Xenopus tropicalis: one gene and its partner. Each later gene encodes a partner of the first gene's protein in a complex. Links are inferred from orthologs where the notes say so. Each region holds a gene or a part of one and is shown in the gene's direction. Other genes may lie near its edges.

Region 1 (3,655 bases):
TTCCTATTTGCCTTTAGTGCCACGAGTGACCTCCCTGCTCCTTCCCTGCAGCCATCAGAGGTTGCCGCCTGGAGGAGTCCCTGTCTGAGCTGAGCGAAGAGGATCAGCAGGGGGCGCTGTGTCTGTATGAGCAGCTCGGGGACCTGTATTGTAAAGTTGGCTGCTACACAAGAGCCATAGAGGACTACAGAATGCAGGTAGGTACCACAAACCCACAATTCCATTGCTGTATAGTGTTACTGCCCTATGGCCATGGTTACTGTGCTAAACAGGCCGTTCCCCTGTGCCTCTCAGAACCTGCTGCCATCTTGTTCTGCTGCTTATATTTCTCCCCTTGTACCAGCTGAACTGCGCTGAGACGCTGGGAAGGCCGGAGCGGGAACTGGCTGTTATACACGTATCCTTAGCCACCACCTTTACTGACCTTAAGGACCACGTACAGGCTGTGAAGCATTACCGGGCCGAGCTGGAACTGAGGAAGGGAAATCCATCTGAGGTACGGAACTCGAGGAAGCGTGGCCCTGCCTTTCACACAACATTTCTATAGTATTGAGCAGAGTCAGACCTGAGGGTGCTGTTGTCGCAGCCTGTGTGAAATTGTCCTTTCTGGACCATTGCTATGAATAGACAGACAGGCAATGAAGCTCCCTCTCTTTACTTTGTGACCCATTCTGTGGCAGTCTAGGTGACAACATATTGCAGCCCCATGCTACTCATTGGCTTATTTTGAAGCAGACATCCAACCTGTGTTCAAACTGTCCCTCTGTCCCTCCCCAGGAATGCAAGACTTGGATGAACATTGCTCAATCTTATGAGGAGGATGGGCGAAGGCACACCGACATACAGAGTTGCCTTTCCAATGCATTGCAGTGCGCCCAGCGGGCAGGAGAGGCTGCGCTGCAGGTAAGTAGTGCTCACCCACTGCAAATGACACTTATTGTGCCCCTTTGTGCTCATCTGCACCTGTGGTGTCCGTGCACAATTAGAGAATCATCTTTGTGCCTCTATCTCTGGGCAATAGAGCTACAGTCATGAGTCTGCAAAGGGGGTTTCTCTGGGGTATGATGTGATGGGATGGGGCTTTTGGTTTGTAGTTATGTAACCCTGAGCTCTCATAGTGCTACTCCTGCTGTACTCCTTTGGGTGCTGCCTTGCCTTTTATAACTCAGTGGGTCTATGTGCTGCTGTTTCCCAGAGGAAGGTTCTCCGCCAACTGCTGGCCGTGCAGGAGAAGTTGGGGGACCCAGAAGTGGGCGACACAGAGGCAAAACTACAGGAGCTGTGTTCAGGCCCTGGCGGGGAGAGCAGCGAGGAAGAGGAGGAGATGGAGAATAGTGAGCCCCTGCAGGAGAGTGACTTGGAACTGTCGCAGAGCGGTGAGACTCCGCCTTTCTTTAGTGCCCATGTCTGCCAGCTCAGCTCATATGTTCCTTTGCTTGTGCCATTATTTCCCCCAATGTAGTTATTGCCGTGCCGGTTATTCCCTCCTACCCCCTTTTTCATTCATCACAAGCCCAATGAAACGCTGTACTGCCCCTTTATTATCATTTGTTACACAGGCAGCGGCATTCATTACCCTGATCCATTTACCCACAAGGGGCACTATTACTAACATTCAGCCTTCTCTGCGGTTTGTTTTATTGTGAACTGGAAAGTTAATTTATTTCTCATGAAATTTCACTTCTGTGCAGAGGATGACGAGGATCTGGAAGGGTATGAAAAATTAGTTCCTGGCAAGAGAAGAGTAAACCGGGTAAGACTGTGCCCAAGGAATGATGGGTTGTAAGGGGATTGCAAGCTCTAAGGGTCACTTACTTTTGTGCTTCTTTGTCTGGCAGTGGAACCGGCGTAATGAGAAGGGTGAGACGGTGCTGCACCGCGCCTGTATTGAAGGCAACGCCAAGCTTGTCAAGACCTTAATAGAGAAGGTAGGACCCCTTTCTGTGCCAGGTTGGCCCCCCGGTATGGCCGCCATTAGTCTGTAGGACGATTGAACAAACAATGTTTTCTCCTGTTATGTGATTGGCATTCTGTGCTTTTCCTGATTGTTTTCGCTCCCTTACAGGGCCATCCTCTGTCCCCCAGAGATTACTGCGGTTGGACCCCCCTCCACGAAGCTGCTAACCATGGCCACTTGGGTATGATAAAGATAAATCGAAGGAATTAAGGCAGGATATATTGAAGTGATAGTTTACCTTTAAATTAACTTTGAATGTGCTATAAAATGGCCAGTTCTAAGTAACTTTTCAATTGGTCTTTGTTTTTTTTTATCTTAATTCTGAATTATTTACCACCTTCTTCTGCCTCTTTCCAGCTTTTAAATAGGCGTCACCGACCCCGGCAGCCAAAACCTATTGCTCTGGGAGGCTCCAGTGTTATTTCTACTTATTAATACTTATTTTATCTATTTAGCCCCTCTACTATTCATGTATCAGTCACTCTCTCAAACCACTCCCTGGTCATTAAGCTAAATTGGACCCTAGCAACCAGATTACTGCTGAACATAAATCAAAGACAAAAAGTAAAATAATTCAAAAGCTACCAATTATAAAAAAATGAAGACCAATTGCAAATTTTCTCAGAATATCACTCTCTATCTCATAGTAAAAATTTACTAAAAGGTGAACCACCCCTTTACGGAACAGTTATAGTGACGACTCCTGTCCCTTCCTCTCTCCAGAGATCGTGGAACTTCTCTTGGAAAAAGGGGCCAACATTAATGATCCTGGGGGGCCTTTGTGTGAGGGGATCACCCCCCTTCATGATGCCCTGTCCAGTGGCAACTTCCACGTGGCCCAGTTACTGATTCGCCGAGGTGCATCTGTGACCCTGAAGAATGCCAAGGTGTGTTGACTGTTAGATCACTTCCTGTGTTATTACATCACTTCCTTTTTAGTTGCTCAATATTGTCAGTGATTGTGCTGTAAAGGTTAAAGTAATGCTCTCGCTGCTGCTAAATATCGCTGGGTTGGGGATTCTGGTACATGACGCTATGGTATAGGGAGTGCAGCGCTGAAGGAAAGCAGTGGGGTTGTGCTGGGCAGGTCTGGGATTTGGCCACAGTAGAAACTGGTTTGACCAATAATCTGGCATTTCCTTTAGGGAGTCGCCCCTCTGGGAAGCCTCCAGGATTGGATCGGTACCTATGGGAAACATCTGGATCAGGAAACCAGGCAGAACTGCAAGGAAACGGAAAGCCTTCTGCGGGAAGCTCTGGCCGGCCGGGGTAAGATATTGGGGAGCAGCTGGGGGTGCACGCTCGGTGTTGGAGTTGATTAAAGGAGAACTAAAGGCTTTAGGACCAGCCCAAGGCAACCGCTGCCCTTTAGCAGGGAAGATCTGTGCCCCCAAAGATGCCCCAGTAGCCCCCATCTTCTTCCTATCTCAATATACTTCTTCTCACAATATACTGTATATATAGAATCTAAATGTAACCATATGAGGCTGATTAGTAATTCATTCAGATTCACATTATATTGCAGCTCTAAAACCAGTGCAATTAGCATCACAATTTAATAATCATCCGTGTTCAGTTTATATGACAGACCAGCCTTATTTTCTGCTCGATTATTTGCGAAGACCCCTAAGCTCAGCTTCTCACCGGCTGCCCAGGGCCCACTGAGCATGTGCAGTGTCCCAGACAGAGAAACCAAGA
Region 2 (3,655 bases), on another chromosome or scaffold:
AAGACCAGCAACTCCGGGATTTTATATATAGTATAAAAAAGACCAGCAACTCCGGGATTTTATATATATTAGTATAAAAAAGACCAGCAACTCCGGGATTTTATATATATATATAGTATAAAAAAGACCAGCAACTCCGGGATTTCTTGTGAAAAATCAAAACATATATTCAAAGTAGCATTAAACAGGCTGTTTATGCTACTTTGAATATATGTTTTGATTTTTCACAAGAAATCCCGGAGTTGCTGGTCTTTTTTATACTATTGGAACCCTTTACCGAGCACCCGAGGTATGTTATGTAACGGTGTGCCATCCTTTGTGTGTGTGTGTGTGTGTGTGTGTGTGTGTGTGTGTGTGTGTATGTATATATATATATATATATATATATATATATATATATATATATATATATATATATATATATATATATAATATTTATTTATTTATTTATTTTTTCCAATCTCTTTAGAACAGTTCTTTTACCATCCGCTGGCTAGGTTTACAAACATTGGCATGTGTCAGTAAAAGCCCTTGTTCTATGCTGGAGGTGGTGAGGAGCTGCTGCACTGATAAGCCCTCTCTTGACCTGTATAAGTCTGATAACAGCTACCTAATTTTCCTGAGGATTTTGGCTCGACTGATGAAAAAAGACAAAGAAAGCCGTGGTGCCCATCCTTGGAAGCAGATTAAAGGAAGGTCTGCATATTTTTTAAACAAATGTTTATCACAGCAAACTTCTGATGTTCAGCTAAATTACCTGTTTGATCATTTCAATCAGATATAGTGAGATATATACAGGGAATCGTCTAATGATATAAAAAATACAGAGGTGCTCTGTATCACCAGCAGCATTATTAAGCACTATTAATAAGCAGAGGCATGACAAATCACTTTATATGCTATTTTTCAGGCTTTTTATGAGTTATTGGTCTTATAGATTTAGAGCTTTTTATCCTGATAAAGAATACAAGCATAGAATTAAATAATGTGATTGTAAACAAATACTGGGATAGGCAAGAGAGGCAAATAATCAAATCAAAGGTTTGTATCCACATGTGTAAACCCTATTTATTAAAATTAATAAACCTTAGTGGCTATAGAAACTCCATATTCGGACATCCAGATAAATACAAATTAATAAAACCATTTTAAATTTAGGAACTAATTCTTTATCAAATATTGCATATTTGTTGTTGTGTTTTTTTTTTAATATTAAATATATTTCCACAGAATTTATTCCAAATTCCACCAGAAAAAAATGCAGGAGCTTACAGAGGTTGGACTACAGCACTTTTTCATTCTTTTCCTATTACTGGCAATTGTGGCAGACACCGAGGATGTTGCTAGTCGTGTTATAGACCTTTTACAGTTTTTAGTCCCCGGCCATCTCAGTACTTCCCAGCGGGCTCTTCTGTGGAGGGGTAATTTTGCATTTCTTTTGATATACGTGGAAAAAAACATGGACATAAGTGCTCTTGCAGAAAAGCTTTCTCACAGTTTCCGAGAAACTGCCAAGGAGTTCTTGGTGACAAAGGGCGATTTTGGACAAAAACACACACTCTGGACACTGCTTTCCACATATGTTGATGGTGTACAAGAGGTATTTGAAACCAGCCACAACCTTCAGCTTTCTGAAGAAAAACTTTTGAATGATGGCTTTAGCATGATGTTGCCAGCTTGTAGAGAGTCAGAGTTATGTTCTGTCCTAAATTTCTTGCAAACTGCTGTAGCAAGACTCCGGTAAGTAATTTTATATTTTTCTACAAGAAGTATATGTACAAAAGTTGTGTGAAAGTGTTTTTAGACTTGATTGAGTCCCAAATTATTGAGGCCGTAGTTACCCAAGATGGACAGGTTGATGGTAGTTAAATAGTAGTTAAAAAATGTGACACTACTTAATGCTACAAAAGAGTACAAACACACTAATGCAGCCCTCGCCTGACCAAATTTTCTAACCTGTCCAATAGATATCTGCTAAAAATCATATAACATTAAATAAACCCAATAGGATTGTTTTGCCTCCAATAAGGATAGTTATATCTCAGCTGGGATCAAGTACAAGGTACTGTTTTATTATTACAGAGAAAAAGGAAATATGTTTTTATGATTTTGAGTGATTTGATTAAAATGGAGTCTATGGGAGATGGCCTTTCTGTTATTTAGAGCTTTCTGGATAACAGGTTTCCAGATAATGGATCCCATACCTGTATGTGTTCTTCTATAATACCATATAGAAAAACTGTCACATTAAAGGAGATGGCAAGGCAAATTTTATAAATGGTACCATTGCATAGTCCTAGTATAGATAAAGAAAAACGATACACTTTGGGCTCAATTATAGTAAGAGAAACTTATAAAATCTAACCTGAAAGTTTCAGCGTTATCTAAGGTTTGGCGCGGCCATCTTTGAATTTGTATGCCCACTTCCTCTCCTTCGGTGTATTTACTGCGCATGCGCAAGCTTCCTCCCTCCCCCCAGCCTAGGCGCGAGAGCAAACTCCACGATCGCTCCTTGAATGAATGAACGCCGCCGGAGGCTTCTGCTTACAGCGCGTCGCCATAGCAACGAGACCGCTTGCTAGTGCACGCTTCTAGGGGCCGGCTCAGGAGATCTGATTGACAGGGAGCGCGCCTGCTTGTGCGTGCCCACAGAAGAGACAACTGCGCATGTGCCGCTTCGGTTGCAAGTCCTGAAGTCTGGCAATCAGCGAGGGATCATGGGAACTTAACTCTGCACACAGCTTCTAGCTTTTATATCGGTTTTAGCTTCTCTTCTTGTAATCCATGGAGATATGGGGAGACTTAAGGGCACCTTTCAGACTACAGATGGTAAGCCTCCAGCCTGAGATTAACTCTTGTGTAGCCTTTCCTTCTCCTTTTAAGTACTATAGTCTTTCTTCTGGCTCATGTGAATCACTGTGGCACCATGGTACAAGTGTTGTACCATGTTAGCCATAGTTTAGAAAGAAAACCAGATTTTTTTTTTTGTGGTAATGTGATCAAGTGTACTGTTAATTGACTAAATGATATATGTACCTGTGAGTAGTACGGTAGTACATTACCACTTAGTCACTGTGGTCACAAACCAAAAACGCACATACAGACAAAGTTACCAGTGCCAGTGTTAGTTATGTGTTCTGGTTAAGTTCTGCCTGTCACATACCAGAAAATACTGTACTCTAGTCCTGAAAAGAAAGATATCAAAATAGAGTCCAGCAGGTTCATGTGTAGCCAGAAAGAAATTGTAGATGGATGCGTGTAGGGGTGTTGGCAGCACAATAGCCTTTGCTGCAATCTGCCGCCTTTGGATGACCGCACTGATGATGACTCCACTTCTGTTTTTTGTTTTTGCAGCCCATGGGTAGCAGGTCAACCTGCTGATAAAATTGTTGCGGGTCAGTGGGCTGGGTGCCAATTAGACCCATGTAGACCTCGAGATATAATGATTAAGAGCATTTATAAAAAGGACAGAACAGTAACCATAACACAGTAGGGTGATTAAATGTGGAATCCAAAGCTATTAGACTACTAGTTAGATATTTAAACACTTCATCTTCAAGAAAAGGTGTCTTCTAATCCATAATATGCAACATGTTACTTTTTTACCTTTTCCATTTTCTGGTGTTTAACCTGAAAGAATCACTTTTAAAATTAC

The links. The genes of interacting proteins can lie anywhere in the genome.
Region 2: tonsl (region 1) and mms22l share a complex: the UniProt entries of both Homo sapiens proteins name them as parts of the MMS22L-TONSL complex. The link is inferred for Xenopus tropicalis from reciprocal best matches to the Homo sapiens genes TONSL and MMS22L.

What each region holds. Positions count from the first base shown.
Region 1 is NC_030682.2:152,172,861-152,176,515, reverse strand, and holds part of tonsl (tonsoku-like protein), read left to right. Parts: intron 1-51; coding exon 52-197; intron 198-343; coding exon 344-496; intron 497-777; coding exon 778-903; intron 904-1,195; coding exon 1,196-1,376; intron 1,377-1,691; coding exon 1,692-1,753; intron 1,754-1,838; coding exon 1,839-1,928; intron 1,929-2,065; coding exon 2,066-2,138; intron 2,139-2,680; coding exon 2,681-2,844; intron 2,845-3,102; coding exon 3,103-3,226; intron 3,227-3,655. UniProt on the Homo sapiens protein: Component of the MMS22L-TONSL complex, a complex that promotes homologous recombination-mediated repair of double-strand breaks (DSBs) at stalled or collapsed replication forks.
Region 2 is NC_030681.2:83,157,441-83,161,095, forward strand, and holds part of mms22l (protein MMS22-like), read left to right. Parts: intron 1-469; coding exon 470-696; intron 697-1,230; coding exon 1,231-1,740; intron 1,741-3,655. UniProt on the Homo sapiens protein: Component of the MMS22L-TONSL complex, a complex that promotes homologous recombination-mediated repair of double-strand breaks (DSBs) at stalled or collapsed replication forks.